Linked DNA regions of Anolis sagrei. The protein of the gene in region 1 interacts with the protein of each later gene in a biochemical or structural test. Links are inferred from orthologs where the notes say so. Each region holds a gene or a part of one and is shown on either strand. Other genes may lie near its edges.

Region 1 (7,789 bases):
ATGGCCAGGTATTTCCTTCCAAGTTCTACAAAAGTTGAATTGCAATACCCCTCACCATTTGTTGCGTTAACTTTTGGAAAGTCACAGACTTCTCTAATCTCTATCTAGTCTAATTTTTTAATCAAAAAGTCCTGAATATCTTGTTAATAATGCCAAAGTTTTGCTAGAAACTTTTTTGTACTCTTGATGTGTCACCTGCAATACAGCATGATAATAATTAATGTTTCCGACCGCCTACTATTCTCACAAGAATTTGCTGAAATCATTTTATTGGGGTCTACACTTAGTTGTAAGTTTAGACTCACTGAAATCAATAACAGTTTCATTGACTACAGTGGCTGTACTGTAAGTATGACTAAATTTGACCTAGCTCATTAAACTATAATAAAATGTCATCTACAGTATTGTGTCACAGGGTTTCTTTCTTCAACATTGGCAAGGCACAATAGGCAGCCATCTACACATGCCGCAAATGGTGCTGCTGCTCAGAAGTGGGGTACCAGAGTCCACACAAACAGCCATTCAGCAAGTTGAGGAACTGACAAGTCTCTGCATCGTGCAGCCACAAGCTGGTGGCTGAATGGCATCCACATGTCCTAGTGGTGCTGGAACTGGTTCAATGCCACCAGACTGCCACTCTTACCTTACTCTTGTTGATCTGGTCTTAATAGCAATCACAGAACATAAAAATGGCAGTGTTCACCACTCCGCTCCCTCTTTTCCTCCCTCCATTCTCCAATCACATCATTGTTCCAGGTGCGGAGTACCAATTATCATTTTTGTGTCCAGAAGCCACTGCAAAGGCCATAATGGCAAGGGAAGGCAATTGCCATCTCCTGTCCCTGCGACTCCCCAGCCAGAGGAAAGTGGGATGGTAATGTGAACAGCCATAGACACATTCAAATAGGAAGTGCCCCAACTGTTTACACTGGCCCATAGAGCTTCCATGAAGCATCCTGCAACTTTTTGGAAGGCGGGACAAGGCCGCATTAAGGTGAATGGACTTTATGTGTCATGTGGAGACCACAAAGACCAGTCACTTCTGGTCCAACTCACATGCTTTGTGTAGAAAAATACAACAGTTAAAAAATGAATAACAGTGTGGTAAAACAGAATAATGCTGCTCCATGTAATCATGCTGGCCACATGACCTTGGAGGTTTCCATGGACAATGCCAGCTCTTCAGCTTAGAAACTGAGATGAGCACCAACCCCCAGAGTCAGACAAGACTGGACTTAATGTCAGGGGAAACATGTACCTTAAAACACTTAAAATACAGCAAATACATTAAATACATTAAATGGCCTTTAAAATTTATATTACCTTTCCTTAAAAGCTGTTGGCAAAGGAAGCTCTTGACCTGCTTGCAGAAGGCATTCTGGTTTTTCTTGGGAGGGAATTCCACAGCCTGGGAGCAGATACTGAAAAGGCCATCTCCTGTGTTGCGTGCCCATACCTTTCATTATTATGTGTTGTGTGCAAACATATAATAAACAAATTTCATTATAAGGGGCTAGTTAATTGCCAGTTTGCTAGTAAAATTGAATTACTGTGTTGTGAACTGATACATGATTTTAAAAATGTGACACCAACATGACATGCTTGGAAAGTTCTGCTTCAGGGTCACCATAAGTTAAATGACTTTTGTTTTCTAAGGGTCAATTGATAAACTTTGTTTCCCAAACAAAATGATTGTTGAAGGGTATTGAATATGTTTGCCCAGGAATTGGCAAACTTCGGCCCTCCCTCCAGGTGTTTTGGACTCAACTCCCACAATTCCAGACAGCTTACTGGCTGGGTTGCTATAAGTTTCCTGGCTGTATGGCCATGTTCCAAACGTCTCCTGACGTCTCACCCACATCTATAGCAGGCATTCTCAGAGGTTGTGAGGTCTGTTGGAACCTAGGAAAATGAGGTTTATACTGGGTGAGGCAGCTTAACTTCCTTTTTTAAAATGTGCGTCATTCAGTCGGTTGAAGATGTAGTGGTCTCGTTCGAGAGGTGGGAGTATAAAGTTTTATCCTGGCACAGTTCAGTCACCATCATGCGTTGGAACAGTGAGGAGCGTGCTTTTGCCATGGAGGCCTACTTTTCAAGCGGATTTGGAGTGGCCAGCCCGCTCTCCAGATTAGGCCCCTTGTGATTTTTTTCTATGAGGTTTTTGAAATCCTGTGTTTATGTGAACCGTCCAAGGACCCTAGAAGATTTGAAGACCAACATTCAGAAAGAAATTGCCAACATAACGACTGCTATGCTGGCAAGAGTCATACCAAACTTCAGAAATCGGTTTACTCAGTGTATGGAGAATGGGGGACGTCACCTACCTAATTTGATCTTCAAAACTATGCAAAACAAAACTTTAGGTATGCATTATTACCTACATTATTAAAAAAATAAATTCTGATTCATACAATGGGTTTCATTAAGTTTTGAAAAAAAGGAAGTAATGTTGCCTCACTCGGTATATCTGTGGAATGTCCAGGATGGGAGAAAGAACTCTTGTCTGTTTGATGCAGATGTGAATGTTGCAATTGGCCACCTTGATTAGCATTTAATGGCCTTGCAGCTTCAAAATCTGGCTGCTTCCTGTCTGGGGAAAATCCTTTGTTGGGAGGTGATTAGCTGGCCCTGATTGTTTATTGTCTGGAATTCCCCTGTTTTTGAGTGTTGCTCTTTATTTACTGTTTTGATTTTTTTAAAATACTGGTAGCCAGATTTGGTTCATTTTCATGGTTTCTTCCTTTCTGTTGAAATTGTCCACCAGCTGTTAGAAATTGTGGGAGTTGACCTCGAAAAGTTTGCCCATGCCTGTGTTAGCCGCTCTAAGTTGCTCAATGAGGGAGAGAGGGCGGGATATAATACAAAGTAAATAAACAAATAAATCTTTCTCTCTCTCTCTCTCTCTCTATATATATATATATTTATTTATTTTATTTATTTATTATTACACTTGTATACCGCTAATATCTCAGCCTAAGTCGGCGACTCATTGCGGTTTACAACATCTAAAAACAACAATATTCAAGTTAAAAGCATAAAAACACATATAAAATACAGAATTATTGGGCCACCAATAACAATCCAAATGCATCTCGTAACTGGAATCACAATCCAAATTCGTCGTCTGTAATTACCAATCCTTAATCGTCAAAATTCGTTCGTCGGATTATCCGAATGCTTGTTCAAACATCCATGTCTTCAGTTTTTTCCGAAACGCCATCAGCGAGGGGGCTGACCTTATCTCTATAGGGAGGGTGTTCCAAAGCCGAGGGGCCACCACAGAAAAGGCCCTGTCTCTCGTTCCCGCCAGCCGCACCTGTGAAGCCGGCGGGATAGAGAGCAGGGCCTCCCCAGAAGATCTTAGGGTCCTGGCGGGCTGATAGGCTGAGATACGTTCGGATAGATAAGTTGGGCCAGAACCGTTTAGGGCTTTAAAGGCCAACGCCAGCACTTTGAATTGAGCCCGGTAGCAGATCGGCAGCCAGTGGAGCTGGTACAGCAGAGGAGTTGTGTGCTCCCTGTGCCCCGCTCCTGTTAGTATCATGGCTGCCGCCCGTTGGACTAATTGGAGCTTCCGGACTGTCTTCAAAGGCAACCCCACGTAGAGAGCGTTGCAGTAATCAAGGCGGGATGTAACCAGAGCGTGGACTACCGTGGCCAAGTCAGACTTCCCAAGGTACGGTCGCAGTTGGCGCACAAGTTTTAACTGTGCGAATGCTCCCCTGGTCACCGCCGAAACCTGGGGTTCCAGGCTCAGCGATGAGTCCAGGATCACACCCAAACTGCGAACCTGCGTCTTCAGGGGGAGTGCGACCCCGTCCAACACAGGTTGTAGCCCTATACCCTGTTCGGCCTTGCGACTAACCAGGAGTACCTCTGTCTTGTCTGGATTCAATTTCAATTTGAATTATATAAATGTAATATTCGTTTGTGGGATTAACATAACTCAAAAACCACTGGACAAATTGACACCAGATTTGGACACAATACGCCTAACAACCCAATGTATGTCCTTCACTCAAAAAAATTGATTTTATCATTTGGGAGTTGTAGTTTCTGGGATTTATAGTTCACCTACAATCAAAGAGCATTCTGAACCCCACCAACGATGGAATTGAACCAAACTTGGCACACAGTTCTCCCATGATCAACAGAAAATACTGGAAGGGTTTGGTGGGCAGTGTCCTTTGGTTTTGGAGTTGTAGTTCACCTACATCCAGAGATCACTGTGGACTCAAACAATAATGGATCTGGACCAAACTCTACACGAATACTCAATATGCCCAAATGTGAACACTTGTGGAGTTTGGGGAAAATAGAATCTTGACATTCGGGAGTTGTAGTTGCTGGGATTTATAGTTCACCTACAATCAAAGAGCATTCTGAACTCGACCAAACCTCCCACACAGAACCTCCATGTGGGCCACAGCAACGCGTGGCAGGGGGCGGCTAGTACATTATAAATATGGGACAAAATTACCTTCAGGCGATGTGTGACAATGTACATGAGTGAAATCTGGATTTAGACTTGGGTCCCTTCTCCATGAAATATATATTCTTCTGTACTCAGGTATTCCAAAATCCGAGGGAATAAAAGGTAATTCAAAACCAAGCATTTCGGAGAAGAGGCACCCAGCCTGTACCAAGCGGTTCCCAGGGAAACAATAACAACTTCCAGGGAAGTGTGCCGCCGCGCTGATTTGACGTCATGCTTGACGGAGGGCCTTCTGGGGAGTGTAGTCTGACGTCCAGTCAAGCGCGTTGTCTGATTAGCTGGAGGCCGCGGGGGATGCCGGGAGTGGTAGTCGGGCCGGGAGCGCCATGGAGGATTCTGAGGCGGCGGGCGGCCGCTCCAAAGTGGCGCCCAGCGTGGACTTCGACCACAGCTGCTCGGACAGCGTTGAGTACCTGACGCTGAACTTCGGGCCCTTCGAGACGGTGCACCGCTGGCGCCGACTCCCGCCCTGCGACGAGTTTGTGGGGGCCCGGTAAGGAGGAGGAAGGAGGAAGGAGGGCGGCGGAGAGGGAGGCCTGGCCGAGGGGAAAGGCCTCACTCACAAGGCGGGCGAGCAGTCAAGGCCCTCTCTCTCCTCCTCCTTCTCCTTTCAGCCGCAGCAAACACACCGTGGTCGCCTATCGGGATGCCATCTACGTCTTCGGCGGAGATAACGGGTGAGGCCAGCCTCTGGTCCAGCTGCAGCTGTCATCGAGCCATGGCAGCTAAAGGGGATCAAACTGCATCAATACTACAGTGTAGATCAGGCATGGGCAAACTTCGGCCCCTCCTCCTGGTGTTTTGGACTTAACTCCCATAATTCCTAACAGCCTCAAGCCCTTAGGGGCTTGAGGCTGTTAGGAATTGTGGGAATTGAAGTCCAAAACACCAGGAGGAAGGGCCGAAGTTTGCCCATGCCTGTTTTGTTATTTCCATGTCAGGAGCGACTTGAGAAACTGCAAGTCGCTTCTGTTGTTTGAGAATTGGCCATCTGCAAGGATGTTGCCCAGGAGACACCCAGATGTTTTGATGTTTTATCATCCTTGTGGGAGGCTTCTCTCATGTCCCCGCATTTATTTATTTACCGTATTTGTATATCACCTTTCTCAGCCAGAGGTGACTCAAGGTGGTTCCTAGTCAGCACAATTTGATGCCAGAACAAATATCAAAATACAGTTAAAACCATTAATAAAACAATTCAGCCTTTAAAATGTAATATAAAAAGCAATATATCTGTCAAAACAAGATCCTCGGCATCTCCTTACTAAAATCGTTGTCCGGTTGAATTGTCAGTCATTCCATATATTTGTTTACGTCTAATTATGCTCCAGTAGAAAAAGCTTGCTTAAAGATCCAGGTCTTAATCATTTTGCGGAATGTTAGAAAGGAGGGAGTCAATCTTATATCCCAGGGGAGGGCGTTCCATAGCCAAGGGGCCACTACTGAGAAGGCTCTGTCTCACATCCCTGCCAAACTCATATGCGAGGAAGGTGGGATCGAGAGCAGGGCCTCCTCAGATGATCTTAAAGTCCTATGTGGCTCATAAGGAGAGGTAGTTTGGATAGGAAAGCTGGAACGCATGGAGAGCTGGAGCTGATAGAGAGAGCTCATCCACGCTCTCCCCGGATTTGAACCTGCAACCTGTCGGTCTTCAGTCCTGCCGGTACAACAGTTTAACCCACAGCGCCACTGGGGGCTCCACCTGTTGGTTGCTTCCCATGGCACCTCTGTAACAGCCCATAGAACAGGCTGATGGGAAATGTTTTCGATTTCTGGTTCTCTGCTATCCACAGTGTCAGGTATTCATAGAGTCGCCTTGCAGATAGTATACCCTTTTAATTTCTCCTCAAGAGACAGTCAGTAATGGGGCTAGCTTCCCACAGAGACCCCCCCATGACCAACAGAAAATACTTAAGGCCATCCAGTCCAACTCCCTTCACCAGGACAAGGAAACATAATCAAGGCCCCCCTGACATAAAGCTATCCAGCTATAGATATAGATAGATAGATATGATTCACACACACACACTTACAGTATTAAAGATTTGAAAGGGACCCCCAAAGAAGGACAATGTTATGTTGCATGTTCCAGAGTAGGCAAATCAGACAATCTTCACATCCACACTGACAAAGAAACAACAAGAAATATTGTTTACCCACAATCAGTTACATATATTAGAAACCAACACTTTCTCAATACTTTATTTTCCAGATCAGCAGACTGGGCGACAGCAAGGCATGGCAGGGGATGGCTAGTATTAAATATAAATGATGATAGATACTGTTGGCATAATATCAACACATAAATATTTAGCCTGTTATGATCAATACAATTGTTAATAGATATACATAGGTACAAGTGCTGCAATTAATATGAGGTAATGTTTTATAGTACCCGAAAATAACTTTTTCTATTTTTCTCTCTTATTCTAAAGAAAAACTATGTTGAATGACCTGTTGAGATTTGATGTGAAGGACTGTTCTTGGTGCAGGTACAACCATATTTCTAATATTTTAATATGTTTTATACATTTTTACTCATCTGAAATGAAGAGTTCTATATAAGTATCAAAGTATAAATTGTGGAAAGCCACATGATTTTCATTTCAGCTATGTACACATGCTCAGCCTAGATTGTTGTTTCTAATACCAGAATTAACTTGTAATTCTTTTGCATAAAAAGTTGTTCCTAATCATCCTTCTCATTAGTTAATTTACAACTTACCCATTCCCAAAAGCCTTGTGTAGCTGCCACTACATCGATAGGAATCAAATGCTTAGAAATCTAAAACCAACTGACCTACACTCGTAATAAAAACATCCACCAGTAGATTTCCATATATCTTGTGCCTACTACTGTAGTAGTTCAGTATCAGGTTAGTTGGATTTATAATCTCGAAACTGCCGGGGATTGCTGCTTATACTCATTAATGACCAGCATACCCCCAAAACCTACCTTTGCAGCCTGGCAACTCACCAAACAAAACGTTTTCAAGGCACTGGAAAATTATGTCTGCTGCACTCTCTTGTTTGTAGGACAGATTGAGAAGGGCAGTTGTTTCAGGAAAGCTGCTTTTCTCAATGGTTAATCCAGCTGCTGTTCTTTATTTTTCACACATCTGGCAGAATGCTCCAGATGTTATTGTCCAGCAACCAGTCTCCAGTGTTTCAAAACTACTTTGGTTGGGGTGCGGTCATGCAGGTTTTGTGAGAGTGGCACTGTTAGATATAGTTATGATAGTGAAGCTTCGTTGGCCTCCTGCATTGATGACACAGTCTCCCAACCAAAGTGTC
Region 2 (7,575 bases), on another chromosome or scaffold:
CCTCTCCTCTTGCTCTTTCCCCCACCCCATGTTTTCTGGGCTGACAGGAAGTGTTTACAGAAGGTAAAGTCAGTAAAACTGAAGAGGAGAGAGAGAGGGAGGCAAAAAAAGCAGATTGTTTTGCCTCCTCACTTACCTGCCCCCAAGGCTCAGAGGCACAGCAAACGCTGTTGGAAAACCCTCTCCTGGGAGCCTAATTCCTTCTGCAGACAGGAAAGGCAGCCCTTAAGGAACATGCAAAAGGCTGACACGCAAAACAAGCACCCACTGCCCCCTGGTCACATCATCTGAACACATGCCTCACTCTCTCACACAACCCCTCCCCACTCTAGGATAGGTTTCTGCACAGGATCTATTCAGCATGTGCAGCCACTGTTAGGATCTCCTTAAAAGAAGGTGTCCAGAAAAGGATGACCAAAATGAGGAAGGCTGATGGAGCCTGGTCTGTTTAGCTTAGAGAAAAGAAGGCAGACAGGGGACAGTAAAAGGTAACCGTTTCCCCTGACATGAAGTCTAGTCATGTCCAACTCTGGGGGTTGGTGCTCATCTCCATTTGTAAGCCGAAGCTTTGTCCGTAGACACCTCCAAGGTCTTGTGGTTGGCATGACTGCATGGAGCACTGTTACTTTCCAGCCGGAGCAGTACCTATTGATCTACTTGCATTTGCAGTTTTCGAACTACTAGGTTGACAGAAGCTGGGGCTAACAGCGGGATCTCACCCCGCTCGCTGGATTCGAACCACAGAGCTTTCAGTCAGCAAGTTCAGCAGCTCAGCAGTTTAACCCGCTGCACCACCAGGGGACTGCAGCCTAGTGTAAATACCTGAAGACTCTCTTTCTGCAGCTCTGGAGTCTGGGACATAATGGAGCAATGGGTTCAAACCGCAGGAATACAGAGAGATTCCACCTAAACACAAGGAAGAACTTCCTGACAGGAAGAGCGGTTAGAGAGTGGAATGTGCTGCTGCCTTGCAAGCTGGTGGAGTCTCCTTCTCTTGAGAGCTTTAAGCCGAGGCTGGATCGAAATCTGTCGGGGTGTCTTGATCACTTTATAATATAATATCTTTATTCTTATATCCTACCTCCATCTCCCCGAAGGGACCACTTACATGGGGACCAAGCCCAATATAAACAAAGGTTAGGAATAACACTATTAAACACATATAACAGTAAAATATATTTAAACAGCTATTTTTTTCATGTCAGGGGCGACTTGAGAAACTGCAAATCACTTCTGGTGTGAGAGAATTGGCCTTGTGCAAGGATGTTGCCCAGGGGATGCCGAGATGTTTGGATGTTTTACCATCCTTGTGGGAGGCTTCTCTCATGTCCCCGCATGGGGAGCTAGAGCTGACAAAAGGAGCTCAATCCACTCTCCGATACTGAACCGCTGAGCTGTCAGTCAACAGTCCTGCCAGCACATGGCTTTAACCCATTGCGTCACTGAGGGCTCAACTAACGCAATCAAAAACATAGAAGAGTAAAATATGTTAAAACAGTAAAACCAATGAAATGTAAAACATCATAAAACATAGACCAGACATCAAATAACCAGTAGTTGGGGGGGAAAAGGTGGGCCTGTGCAGATTTGAGACTAATAGGGCACGACAAGGGCTGGTGCAAATGCAACACTGTAGGGCTGGGAATAAAGTGCTGGAGAGCCAATCAAAAGATTAGGCTTTCATGGCTGGAATCACTGGATTGTTGTAGATTTTTCGGGCTATATGGCCATGTTCTAGAAGCATTCTCTCCTGACGTTTCACCTGCATCTATGGCAAGCATCCTCAGAGGTTGTGAGGATGCTTGCCATAGATGTAGGTGAAACGTCAGGAGAGAATGCTTCTAGAACATGGCCATATAGCCCCAAAAACCTACAATGACCCAAAAGATTAGGGCTAGGCAGATTTAACAGTGTGTTTCTGCATGGCAGAGGGTTGGACTGGATGGCCCTTGGGGTCTCTGCTAAGTCTAGGATTCCTTTTGCAACCGAAGGACTGACAACAAAGGGGAGGAGCCTGAGCACCTCGGCGCCCGGAGACCAGCGGCGACTCCCTTCAACCCCCCCCCCCCGACGACCAGACCCACCCCGCGCCCCCACGGAGGGAGGGGGAGAGAGGGAAGGGGGGGAGGAGCGCGCGCTCCCCTCGAGGGCTCCGTCTCCAAAAGCGCGCCCCTCTTTCTTTCCCTCCAAAAGAGCCACACAGCCGCACTGGGGAGGCGCTGCGGCAGCCCCGCCCGGGAAGAGAGGAGAGGAGACCGAAGGAGCCTTTGCCTTTGGAAGGGGGAAAGGGGTGGGGGGCGGAGGGCCAGCAAGGCACAATCCCAGCCAAGGGAGAGAGGGAAGGAAAGGAAGGAAGGAAGGAAGGAGGAAGAGTCGGCCGCCTTTGCCTACTCGCCCTCATGAATGACTTTACAAGCCGAAAGGCGCGCGTGGAAGGGGGAAGAGGGAAAGGGGGTTTTCTCCCACGCTATCCCCAGTCTCTTTCGCTCTCTCTCCACCCCTTCAAAGATCCCCCACAAACTGAAAGGAGAAAGGTGCCCCTCACCTTCTACTCGCCGCCGTCTTTTCCCACGAGGCTCTTTCCCTCCCACTTTTCCGGGAGGGCTCTCAAAAGGGAGCAAAGTTCGCGCGTGGGGAAGGGCGGGGCAGGGCTAGAGACCCCAGGCGCCTCTTTTGGCAAGCCTTCAGTTCTCCGTGGGTCCCTCCAGGCAGGGGCGGGCTTCCCACGGAGGCGTCGGCGGCGGAGCCCCCTCTTTGCGTCGCCCTCCCCGCATTGGCCCCGAGCCCCGGGCCGCCACGGCTCCGGCGTGGGTGCGACAAGGCCGGGGCACGACGACCAGGAGGAGGAAGGAGAAGAAGAAGAAGGAGAAGGGACCCACGCCCAACGCAGCCCCGGGCGCTCGTCACTCCAGCCTCTCCCGGAGCAGCTGATAGGGCTCAACCCTCGCGCCCCCGACTGCGGGTCCGGCCTCGCGGTGGGCTGGGGAGGCTGTCAATCACGCCCAGAGGGGCGGGGCCAAGCGCGGGAGGGAGAAGGAGAAAGCCAGCGCCGAGGTCTCTCTCTCTCTGTGGGGCTGAAGGAGGGAGGGAGGGAGGGAGGAGGAGAGGAGGAAGCTCGCCCGCCCGCCCGCCTGCTTTGGGTGGGGGAGTCGCCCCTGGTGTATTTTTAGAGCGTGCTGCTTCCTCCAGGGAAATCAAACCACCTCCTCTGCCTTTCAGCGCTGGGCAGGGCCTCCCTCGTCGGTATGAATTCCCCGCCGAGGCAGCACACTCCCATTTCCTTCCTTCTCTATTTAGGGTCGCGCCCGCCTCCTTCTGAAGGTCTCGGGCTGCCTTCGGGCTTGGGGCCGCCATCAGGCCCTTCTTCTGGGTTTGGTTCGGCTACAGCCGCGAAACGAGGGGCCGGGGGGAGGAATGGGGAGGGGAGTAATGAGGAGGGGAGGGGGCGCCACACAAAGGAAGGAGGGGCCGGGTTCTCGCCCCACGAGACCCCCTACTCCCACCGCCCCGATGGAGGACGGAAACGCCCTTCCACACAACAGCCGAGCATCCTTTATTGGTGCCACCATGCCAGGGCTCTGCCAGTATTCAGGCAGAGGTGAATCAAACAAACACCCAGCTTGTTTCTAACAGTTTAATTAAAGCAGCACTTCGTTTCTGGCTGTTTTAATAGTCCAAAATATAAAAAATAAAGATAGCAGGAAGCCACATAATATAAAACAAAACTGGGTAAAAGTATGATAGCTGGGACCGAGTGCAGATAGTGCTACGCTGATTGCGCAATGGTGGTTGTGAATGAGGAACACGTGTGTGGTCAAGAGACTGGGTGGAGTGAGACCAGGTGGAGTGAGATACGCAGGCAGGACAGAGTCTGCAAGTTTGTAGTTGCTTTACCATTCCCGCTCAAATATTGCTTTACTTGCCTTAAGTGCAATGCTTCCCTGTTTGTTGCCCCCCCTTTCTGTTTTCCCTCCCTCCCCTTCTGACCTGAGTTGGGCTCACCGCATTGTGCTATCAGCATTGGCGAAGCAGCGTTGCAGAATCAGCAAAGTGCTACCTGCACTCGGTCCCAGCTATCATACTTTTATCCAAAACAGATAGTAAACACTGCACCGTAGTCAAAGGGTCCAGTCCAGTGGTCAAATGCCGAGAGTTTAGTGAGAGAAGTCAAAAGTCTATACAATAGTCAAAAGCCAATCCAAAAATTCAAGGTTCCAGGGTTCCAAGAGTTCAGGAGACAGGTCAGGACACCAAAAATCCAGAAAACTTAGGAAAAACCAGCAGCATATACTACCAACATAAAACAAATACTTTTCTCCCAAAGATCAGCCCCGAGGTCAGCTCCTTAAAACCAGTAACACCCAACTGCAACCTATCCTTTGCATCCTGCCACTCTTAATTGCGTTTACCTGTAAACTGTTAGTTACAAATTACTCAGCCCTTTAGAACTAAGACTTACATTAACTCTTCCATCACCAACTGTTGGGTCTGCTACCACCAACCACCATGAACTGCAGGACATGATACATGACAATTGGGAACGCCCCAAACTGGCCACAGTTTGGGTGGTACAATGAACAAAAACTTTGTTGCAGGCACACAATTGGGATCCATAGTGCATGACACTACCTTTGGGCCTATGAGTGTGAGAGCTGTGCATAAAACCAATGAATTGCGTCTTTAGACTTACATCACATTTCTAAGATAATTCATTATATTGTCGAAGGCTTTCATGGCTGGAATCACTGGGTTGTCTGTTGGAAACTAGGAAAACAGGGTTTATATATCTGTGGAATGTCCAGGGTGGGAGAAAGAACTCTTGTCTGTTGGAGGTAGGTGTGAATGTTTCCATTGGCCACCCTGATTAGCATTTGATGGCCTAGCAGTTTCATATAAACCCCATTTTCCTAGTTTCCCACAGACCTCAAAACCTCTGAGGATGCCTGCCATAGATGCAGGCAAAATGTCAGGAGATAATGCTTCTGGAACATGTCCATACAGCCCGAAAAACTTACAACAACCCATAATTCATTATGTTGTGTTGCTGTGAGTTTTCCAGGCTGTATGGCCACATTCCAGAAGCATTCTCTCCCGATGTTTTGTCTACATCTATGGCAGACATCCTCAGAGGTTGTGAGATTTGTTGGAAACTAATATACCAATATACCTCACAACCTCTGAGGATGCCTACCATAGATGTGGGCAAAATGTCAGGAGAGAATGTTTCTGAACATGGCCATACAGCCCAGAAAACTCACAGCAACCCAGTGATTCTGGCTATAAAAGCCTTCAACATTATGCAAATCATCATCATCATGGACAATCATAAGTGGCAAAGTAGGGTTGTCTTTCAAGGGTAGTCTTTGCAGTGACTCCTATTCTGGATCCCTAGGAACTTTCAAAACGAGAACACACATTTCCAGATGGAAGGGGGAGCCAACAAGGGATTCACCCTCTATTTGTGCCTCTTCAAAATCTACAGCACTGCTGGTAAGTTACAATGTTAGAGCCCCAGGGCCTTCCCTGTTCTCCATGTTTATTCCGCATTTTTTAAAGTTTTCTTTAAACCCATCTTTAAATCTCTTTTGCTGTTCACCAACATTCCATTTTGAACATGTTATCTTTTTGTGTTTTTCCATTGCCATGTCTAATACTAAAAGGTTTTATGATGTGAAAATATAGAGAAATAATAATAAAATAACTTTTCTAATCTAAAATTAGAATAAAAAGTGTGCATATGTTGTTTTGAAACAAAGGAGATAGAAAAGTTGAGAAATGGAAAATGAAAAGTCCTAACTAGCACTTTCTACCCTGTCTCTGCTGTCCTCTTTATAATGAAAAAACCTATTATTGTTGTCATAAAACTTCATATCTCTGGTAGATTAACTTTGCAGGATCTCTTGGATACCATTGAGGATCCTGTTATTCTTGTCACTGAATTCTCTTATTTTTTTATTTTCTTGTTCTTCCTTTGCACTATTAATTTTCCCTTGGTGCTATAGAAAACCCGATATTTTCATTTTCTTTTCTTCTTTTAAATAGTAAATAAAAGGCTGCCATTCTTCTTCAGATTTAGAAGGATCTGGCAGTTTTATATGCCTAGTCAGTCTGTCCATTTCTAATTGTATAAACTTGATCAATTTGTCAATTTCTACCTGATCCATCATTTTTGTAATCCATAAATCTTGAGAGGGAATTACTTCATGTTTCCGGTAATCACAAATAATGAAAAGCTCACCTCCTCTTGTTTGGTGAATTTAGTCCATTGATATTTAAAGAAAATATATTTAAAGTCCTTGATCTTAAAATAGTAGATGATCATCCAATTATTCATCACGTGGAGTGGCCTGCTACTGTAGTTGAACATCTTCCTTATTAAGGTTGCCTTCTCTTCTTGCCTTCTTGGATGTTTTCTTATTGGAAAGCCCACAATCTATTGGAAATTTCAGTGCACGATAACCTTATTGAAAAGATAAAAATGATGTCACCTCCGTTTGGGAAAATTTGAATCTCTATGAACTTAGAGACCACTTGAAAACCACAAGTCAGGAATGGCGTGACCTTGTTAGAAGTCAAACCTTAAGACAACTGATATTCATAAAGCATTCATGTGATAGCGCCATGGGTAGCTCAAGTGTTAAACTTAGGAACCATGTCTTTAAACGGTTATGGATAAAGACAGGCCACTACAAAAATCTATCTGGTTAGCAGAGGATGTTTGTTTGAAATAGAATTTGCAGTTGCCCAAAAGATATACACTCCCTTAAAACATGCACTCAAGAGAGAAAACAAAGTAGTCTTCTTTGAAAAAAAAATATAACTTGTTTACTAACAAACTTGTATATATTCAGTATACAGGCACATAGTATTTAAAATGTCTTTAGGCATATCTGTACTCACTCAAATCCCTGAGCACACACATCCACCTCCAGTGAAGTCTGAAACCAAACATATCTCATTGAAGTCCAAAAGTAAACATCTACCTCATTGAAGTCCAAAAGCAAACTACAAAATTGAGTCCAGGTCTGAAGCCCCTCCCACAACAAAGAGGAAAGCCAAACTGGAAAATCAACATACACATAGAATGCAGGTTAACAAATATATATTAACAAACAGTTAGTGAAGGATTGTAAGGTTGCTGTTTCCAACATCTCTTTCTCCTTGGCCTTCTTAAGTTTATCTGTCAGAAAAAAGCAATTTATTATTTCTTTATTATCTGCGGTGGAAATTTTCTTAATACTGCAATCCTGGTATTTCTTATTTCAATTGGATCATTGGTGTTAACTTGCAAAACTTGATCTCATGTTTTCTTTCTTGAAAACAACACAATCACAGCTTATTCCTCATTGCATGTTGGGATTGGACTCCAAAGATGCTGTCAATTTGAGCCTCGAACACTTGCTCTGGTCTACCAAGGATTCCAACCACAACTTATGTTATTGCCATTTCAAGTTCCTGTATAGATTCAGGTATTCCTCTCAACTCAAAGAGTATTCTGTTTGCTCATACTCTAATATTTGGAGTTTTATTTTATCTCTTTGGAAATCAATTGCATCTTCTTTTGTGCCTTTTCAA
Region 3 (7,475 bases), on another chromosome or scaffold:
TATGATATTAAGGTCCTAGATGGTTCATAAGGGGAGATGCGTTCAGACATGTAAGTTGGACCAGAAACGTTTAGGGCTTTATAAGCTAAAGCCAGCACTTTGAATTGTGCCTGGTAGCAAACTGGCAGCCAGTGGAGCTGGCGCAGCAGAGGAGTTGTATGCTCCCCGAGCGCTGCTCCTGTTAGCAATCTGGCTGCCGTTCATTGGACCATTTCAAGCTTCTGGGCAGTCTTCAAAGGCAACCCCACATAGAGTGCGTTGCAGCAGTCTATACGGGATGTAACCAGAGCGTGGACTACCGAGGCCAAGTCAGACTTCCTAAACATTAATGATGCTACTTGAGCAAACTTCCATTTCAATTTGCAGCATCAAAGTAATGACCTTTGAGATCTACACTTATCCAAAGAATGTTTTGTAGGATTTTTCTCCTCCTACGACATGGTTGAGGAATGTGACCCTTCAAATGGTGTTGGGTTGCAATCAAGAGCTAAGATCCATTACTATTTTTGGGATCATAGCTCACACTAAAATCCCTCAATTTTAGATCTAGTCAAAACAAAGTACCCCCCCCCCCCAAAAAAAACCTCAGCATTCCCATAATCTCTTATTGTGGGGCTAATGGATGCTGTAGTATAACATCTGGAAGGCTAACCAATTCTCCATTCCAATCCTATTGTGTAATCGAGCCATGGCTTACTTAGAGGCAACTGGCCAAGTAAGTGGTGTAAATGCAATTTACCATGGGCCTGTTCTTGCGGTTTCACACAGATATATTTAGCCTGCCAAAACAACAACCAACACCCTGAGTGTGTTTTAAGTATAGCTAGTTACCCAGTGACCTAGAAAGCAAATTATACAGGAATGGAAGATGACCAGCGCTGATAGGACTATTGAAAGGGACTGAGATGTCGGAGTCTCCCTTTTGGGTGGGGATGGTGCCGTTTTGGCTACCTAACCATCAGCACTCCTGTCTGAACACCAGAAATAGATAGATAATTAGAAGGGATAAGGAGAAATCTAGCCAGGTATGCCTCAGCGAATGAAGTAGATGTCTTTAGGAGAATATTTAGCATCAGAAGCAGAAAGCACATGGAAGAAAGTGAGGTAGGTTCATAAACCACAAAACCAATATGTTTCAGAAGCATTTTATTATAAACTATTTTATTTATTTATTTATTTATTTACAGCTTTTATATTCCACCCTTCTCACCCCGCAGGGGACTCAGGGCGGATTACAGTGTACACATATATGGCAAATATTCAATGCCAATTTTGACATACAAACATTTACAGACATACACAGATGCTATTTAACTTTTTCTGGCCACCAGGGGAGCTGTTGCTTTCATTGTCCATCTGCTACGCTGATGAAGCACTTCCGCATTCCCCGCATGCTTCCCTGCTGGAATGCTTTGCTGGAGTCTTCTTTATGGCCTCATAAATCAGTTAATTTAGCCTCCCTACACTTTAAGGTGGTACCTAATTTTCCTACTTGACAGATGCAACTGTCTTTCGGGTTGCAAAGGTCGACAACAGGGTACACACAATTGGTTGGAAACCCACTCCAACCCGGGCTGGCTTCGAACTCATGACCTTTTGGTCAGAGTGATCTTAACGCAGCTGACACTCAGCCAGCTGCGCGCGCCACAATCCCGGTGCAGTGTGTACATTAGAAAGGAAGCAAACAATTCATTAAACAAGCAAACAACTTTCTGAATCTTGTAAAGATCACTTCCAAAAATGCATCCAGCGATGACTTTTGTGTTCACCAGCCTCCGCTTTTCTTATGATATCCAATTTGATAGCCAAACTGGTATAGTCGGCCCTCCTGCGGATTTGACTCTTGTGGAAAATTTCTAAGTTGTCTGTGGTCAACTTCTGCTACTCTAGGGCCATATTTGTCCAGAGGAGGGTGACTAAAATGATCAAGGGTCTGGAGAACAAGCCCTATGAGGAGCGGCTTAAAGAGCTGGACATGTTTAGCCTGCAGAAGAGAAGGCTGAGAGGAGACATAATGAGCGCCATGTATAAATATGTGAGGGGATGTCATAGGGAGTAGGGAGCAAGCTTGTTTTCTGCTGAGACTAGGATGTGGAACAATGGCTTCAAATTGCAGGAAAGGAGATTCCAACTGAACATTAGGAAGAACTTCCTGACTGTGAGAGCTGTTCAGCAGTGGAACTCTCTGCCCCACTGCTGAACAGCTCTCACAGTCAGGAAGTTCTTCCTAATGTTCAGTTGGAATCTCCTTTCCTGCAATTTGAAGCCATTGTTCCACATTCTAGTCTCAGCAGAAAACAAGCTTGCTCCCTACTCCCTAGTGTGGTGGTCACTCCTTCTTTGGAGACTTTTAAACAGAGGCTGAATGGCCATCTGTTGGGGGTGCTTTGAAGGCGATTTTCCTTCTTGCCAGGGGATTGGACTGAATGGCCCACAAGGTCTCTTCCAAATCTATGATTCTATTATCAAGGTATATCTACACCTTAATTAAGGTTAAGGTTTCCCCTCGACATTAAGTGTAGTCATGTCTGACGCTGGGAGGTGGGGCACATCTCCATTCCTAAGCCGAAGAGCCGGCATTGTCCATAGACACCTCCTAGGTCATGTAATTGGCATGACTGCATGGAGCGCCATTACCTTTCCTATTGCTCTACTCACATTTGCATGTTTTCGAACTGCTAGGTTGGCAGAAGCTGGGGCTAACGAGGAGCTCACCCACCCCATGGATTCAAACTGCCAACCTTCTGGTCAACAAGTTCAGCAACTCAGCAGTTTAATCCGCTGCGTCACTGTGGCCCCATCTACTTTTTATTGTCAAGTAAATTTAGTTTTGCCGGGATTGAGATTAGATACTTTTTCTCAACTATAACTCACAAAAATAAACATTCACTGGACCAATCTATATAAATAAAAATGTAATGTTCGTTTGTGGGATTAACATAACTCAAAAACCACTGGGCGAATTGACACCAAATTTGGACACAATACAGGCTGTATGGCCATGGTCTAGAGGCATTCTTTCCTGACGTTTTGCCTGCATCTATGGCAAGCATCCTCAGAGGTAGTGCTTGCCATAGATGCAGGCGAAACGTCAGGAGACAATGCCTCTAGACCATGGCCATATAGCCCGAAAAAACCTACAACAACCCAGTGATTCCGGCCATGAAAGCCTTTGACAACTCATAAAAACACTGAAAAACACAGTGGAAGAGACTTAAAAAGCCAAAAAACAAAAAATACATTACAACACATGCGCAAAACCACATATGTACACAAACACACATATATACAGAAATATATACAGAAATATATATACACATAAAGGCACACAAAACACATATTTTTTAAAAATACATTACAATGCACGCGCAAAACCACATATGTACACACATACACAAATATATACACACATATACACACACAAAACACATATACACAGACTGGGCCACAGCAACGCGTGCCAGGGGACAGCTAGTAAATAAATAAAAATAATGGCACAATTGATCTAGCAAACAAACAAGAATAAACATTTAATGCCAATTCATTTGCATGCGGACGCAAAGAAAGAGTATCCCAGATTTACATAAACAATCTTTGCAACATAGGGCACAGCTGAAGTGCAGAATTAATGCTGTTTGACACCAATTTAACCGGCACGGCTCAATAAGATAAAATCGTAAGATATGTTGTTTAGTTGTTTAGCTCAAAACCTTCAACTCCATCTCCCATCATTCCATATCATTGAGCCATGTACAGAGATACTCGCTGGAACACCCCAGCAAGCAAGAGTCCAAAAGTGGCAGGCTCAAACCCAGAACCTCAACCAATGGCTGATACCAAATGAGATACTCCCTCCTGGGCACACAGAACACTGGGTGACTTAGAAGGAGATGAACAGACTGCGCTCTGGCACCACGAGATGCAGAGCCAACCTCAAGAAATGGGGCCACAAAGTGGAATCCATGACATGTGAGCGTGGAGAAGAGCAAACCACTGACCACCTGCTGCAATGCAACCTACATGCATAATGGAGGACCTCCTTGCGGCAACACCAGAGGCACTCCAAGTGGCCAGATACTGGTCAAAGGACATTTAATCAACTACCAAGCTTGCAAACTTTGTGTTTTGTCTGTTTGTTTGTTTTGTTAAAAATGTAATACAACTGTCTGGTTCCTCCTGACACGATAAATAAATCAATATTGAGCCATGTCCGTCGTAGCGGTATCAAACTGCATTCGTTCTACGGCGAGGAAGAACCCTTGGCGCACTCCTTCCTCTGGTATTTGTCGCCGGTCTCCCTTCCAGGCCCCAACCATAGCCGGCACTGCTTAGCATCCATAATCAAATGGGATTTGGGTGCCTCCCAAAGATAGAAGCTCTGCCACCCTCCCTTCTCTGTCTCTCTCTCTCTGTCTATTCTTCAGCAGGCAAAAAAAAAAAAAAAAAAAAAAAAGGGGGGGGGGGGACCCAGCTCGCTTGCCTGTTATTTTGGAAGCTGCCAGAGAGCAGAGAAGGAGCATTGTATGTACGTCCTAGAAGCAACTAAAGGACCTCGGGCAGGAGACAGAGAGAGGGGTAAGGAGGCCACGGAGGGGAGGGGGGATTTGGGGGGTGGAAAGGGCTTATTGGGGGGCACTGGAGCCACCTACCCCACGGCAGACCCCAAATCTTTCCCTAAAGGATCCAAATCCCCTCTGACTGCAGTCTGTACATGATGTACATGATGCTCCAAGTGGGCAATTATTCCAAATGCATTCCTTGGGGATTATTATTATTAGAGTAAACTCTGTTAAGAGGCACCCATGGGGATGGGTAGGTGCCAGGTCAATGCAGTTTCTGGTTGCTTGAGAGTTACTATGAGAAATAGGCCTTATACAATACCATAAACTCCACTACGATACCTTATACAATACCATAAACTCTGTATTGACTTGAATTCCATACTGAAATGCAGGCATCCAAACCAAACTGCAATCCAACACAGCTTTGCAAATGCAGTATTATTATTTCTTTGATTTTGTTTGCCGGTTGCTTGAGAGTTCTGGTTAACTGAGAGTCTACTGTACTACTACTGTGTCCTGATTCATTGTGGTTTTATGTAACAGGGGTTTTCACCAGCCATTGGTTTGTTTGCATCATGATTGATTATTGATTCTTTGGTAATTGATTAGGAGAAGCAGCGTTGTCTCCAAGGACTGGGTTTTGGAAGGATAATAATAATGCTCACCTGCAGTGGTTTGCAGGTGTTTTAAGACCTGATTCCAAATGTTTGACAAGGGATGGACTCAGGTTTGGATTGAAACAAAATATATAAAAATCCACCCTTACCTGACATACTTCTTTCTGGCAGGCTGAGCATCCTTTCCCTAGTTGCCAGTAATGATAGTAATAATAATGCTAATAATATTAAGGCATTTGCACCATAATAATAATAATAATAATAATAATAATAATAATAATAATAATGGCATTTGCACCATCCTAACAACAAGGCATTGGCATAATAATAATAATAATAATAATAATAATAATAATAGATCTATTAAGGCATTTGCACCATAACAATAGTAATAATAATAATAATAATCCAGCGTATAGATCTCATTTGCTGTGACATACTGTGCTTTAGTGTCAGTATAATAATAATAATAATAATAATAATAATAATATAAAGGCATTTGCACCATCCTAAAAACAAGGCATTGGCATAATAATAATAATAATAATAATAATAATAGATCTATTAAGGCATTTGCGCCATCCTAACAAGGCATTTGCACCATAATAATAATAATAATAATAATAATAATCCAGCGTATAGATCTTGTTTGTTGTGACATACTGTGCTTTAGTGTCAGTAAAATAATAATAATAATAATAATAATAATAATAATAATAATGTATTTGCACTATCCTAATGTGGAGCCCCTAATTGCCCTATGGGTTAAATCCTTGTGCCAGCAGGACTGAAGAGGGTTCGAATCCGGGGAGAGTGCGGATGAGCTCCCTCTGTCAGCTCCAGCTCCCCATGCAAGGACATGTTTTACCATCCCGCAAGGATGGTAAAATATCAAAACATCTGGGTGTCCCCTGGGTAATGTCCTTGCAGATGAGCAATTCTCTCACACCAGAAGCAACTTGCAGTTTTTCAAGTTGCACCAAGAAACCCCATCCTAATAATAATAATAATAATAATAAGGCATTTGCATCATCCTAATAATAATAATAATAATAAATCTATTAAGACATTTGCACCATCCTAATAATAAATAACAATAATAATAAGGCATGTGCACCATAATAACATTAATAATAATAATAATAATAATAATAATAAATCTATTAAGGCATTTCCACCATCTTAATAATAATAATAATAATAATAATATTAATAATAATAAAACAATAATAATAATAATAATAATAAAGCATTTGCACCAAAATAATAACATTAATAATAATAATGATAAATCTATTAAGGCATTTGCACCATCCCAATAATAATAATAAGAATACTAAGACATTTGCATCTTAATAATAATAATAATAATAATAATAATAAGAAATCTATTAAGGCATTTGCACCATCCTAATAATAACAATAATAATGATTTTGTGATACGAAATCCAGCATATAGATCTCGTTTGCTGTGACATACTGTGCTTTTGTGTGAATAATAATAATAGTAAGGCATTTGCACCATAACAACAACTACAACAAATCTATTAAGGCATTTGCACCATCCTAATAGAATAATAATAATAATAATCTATTAAGGCATTTGCACCATCTTAATAAGAATAAAAATAAGATATTTCACAATAATAATAATAATAATAAGGCATTTGCACAATAATAATAATAATAATACTATAATACTATTGAGGCATTTGCACCATAATAATAATAATAATAATAAGGCATTTGCACAATAATACTATAATAATAATAAGGCATTTGCATAATAATAATAATACTATAATACTATTGAGGCATTTGCACAATAATAATAATAATAATAAGGCATTTGCATCATCCTTTGCTCTCTTCCCAGCTGAAAATTACTTTCCAAAATCTCCTCCCTCTAAAACCGGACTAACCTGGATTCCACGCGTGATTTCATCTCCCACTCCTTTAAATCTGATTTAAAAAACAACATTCCGATTGGACTCCCCTTTCTTCCAATGTGATCTTCAGTATTTATTTATTTTCTTTTTTTCAGCTTGGCCCACGCGGGTCGCGCCTCGCGTGGGCATTTTACTCGCGAGTAACCTCTTCTTTCCACCGATTCAATGGGGATTTCATTATTTTTTTAAGAGGGGGGAGAAAAAAAAGGAAAGCTGGGGGTTTGTTGTTGTTGTTGTGATCCACGGTCCCGCGTGGGGCCCACCCTGGAAGAAATCCCAGCAAGCAAGGTAGAGAGGCGTGTTAAAAGGGAAGGAGAAACATAACAATAAACAATAAACAAAACAAC

Evidence for each region.
Region 2: of the proteins of LZTR1 (region 1) and HRAS, one has a biochemical effect on the other in vitro, tested with the Homo sapiens proteins (3 studies listed by BioGRID, with this or other methods). The link is inferred for Anolis sagrei from reciprocal best matches to the Homo sapiens genes LZTR1 and HRAS.
Region 3: the proteins of LZTR1 (region 1) and KRAS form a complex in vitro, tested with the Homo sapiens proteins (2 studies listed by BioGRID, with this or other methods). The link is inferred for Anolis sagrei from reciprocal best matches to the Homo sapiens genes LZTR1 and KRAS.

Annotation. Positions count from the first base shown.
Region 1 is NC_090024.1:206,568,549-206,576,337, forward strand, and holds the start of LZTR1 (leucine-zipper-like transcriptional regulator 1), read left to right. Parts: upstream 1-4,784; 5' UTR 4,785-4,821; coding exon 4,822-4,988; intron 4,989-5,109; coding exon 5,110-5,172; intron 5,173-6,930; coding exon 6,931-6,987; intron 6,988-7,789. UniProt on the Homo sapiens protein: Substrate-specific adapter of a BCR (BTB-CUL3-RBX1) E3 ubiquitin-protein ligase complex that mediates ubiquitination of Ras (K-Ras/KRAS, N-Ras/NRAS and H-Ras/HRAS).
Region 2 is NC_090021.1:240,068,669-240,076,243, forward strand, and holds the start of HRAS (GTPase HRas), read right to left. Parts: upstream 3,028-7,575; 5' UTR 2,546-3,027; intron 158-2,545; exon of another isoform or gene 137-157; intron 1-136. UniProt on the Homo sapiens protein: Involved in the activation of Ras protein signal transduction. Ras proteins bind GDP/GTP and possess intrinsic GTPase activity.
Region 3 is NC_090025.1:186,777,279-186,784,753, reverse strand, and holds the start of KRAS (GTPase KRas), read left to right. Parts: upstream 1-4,465; 5' UTR 4,466-4,523; coding exon 4,524-4,575; intron 4,576-7,475. UniProt on the Homo sapiens protein: Ras proteins bind GDP/GTP and possess intrinsic GTPase activity. Plays an important role in the regulation of cell proliferation.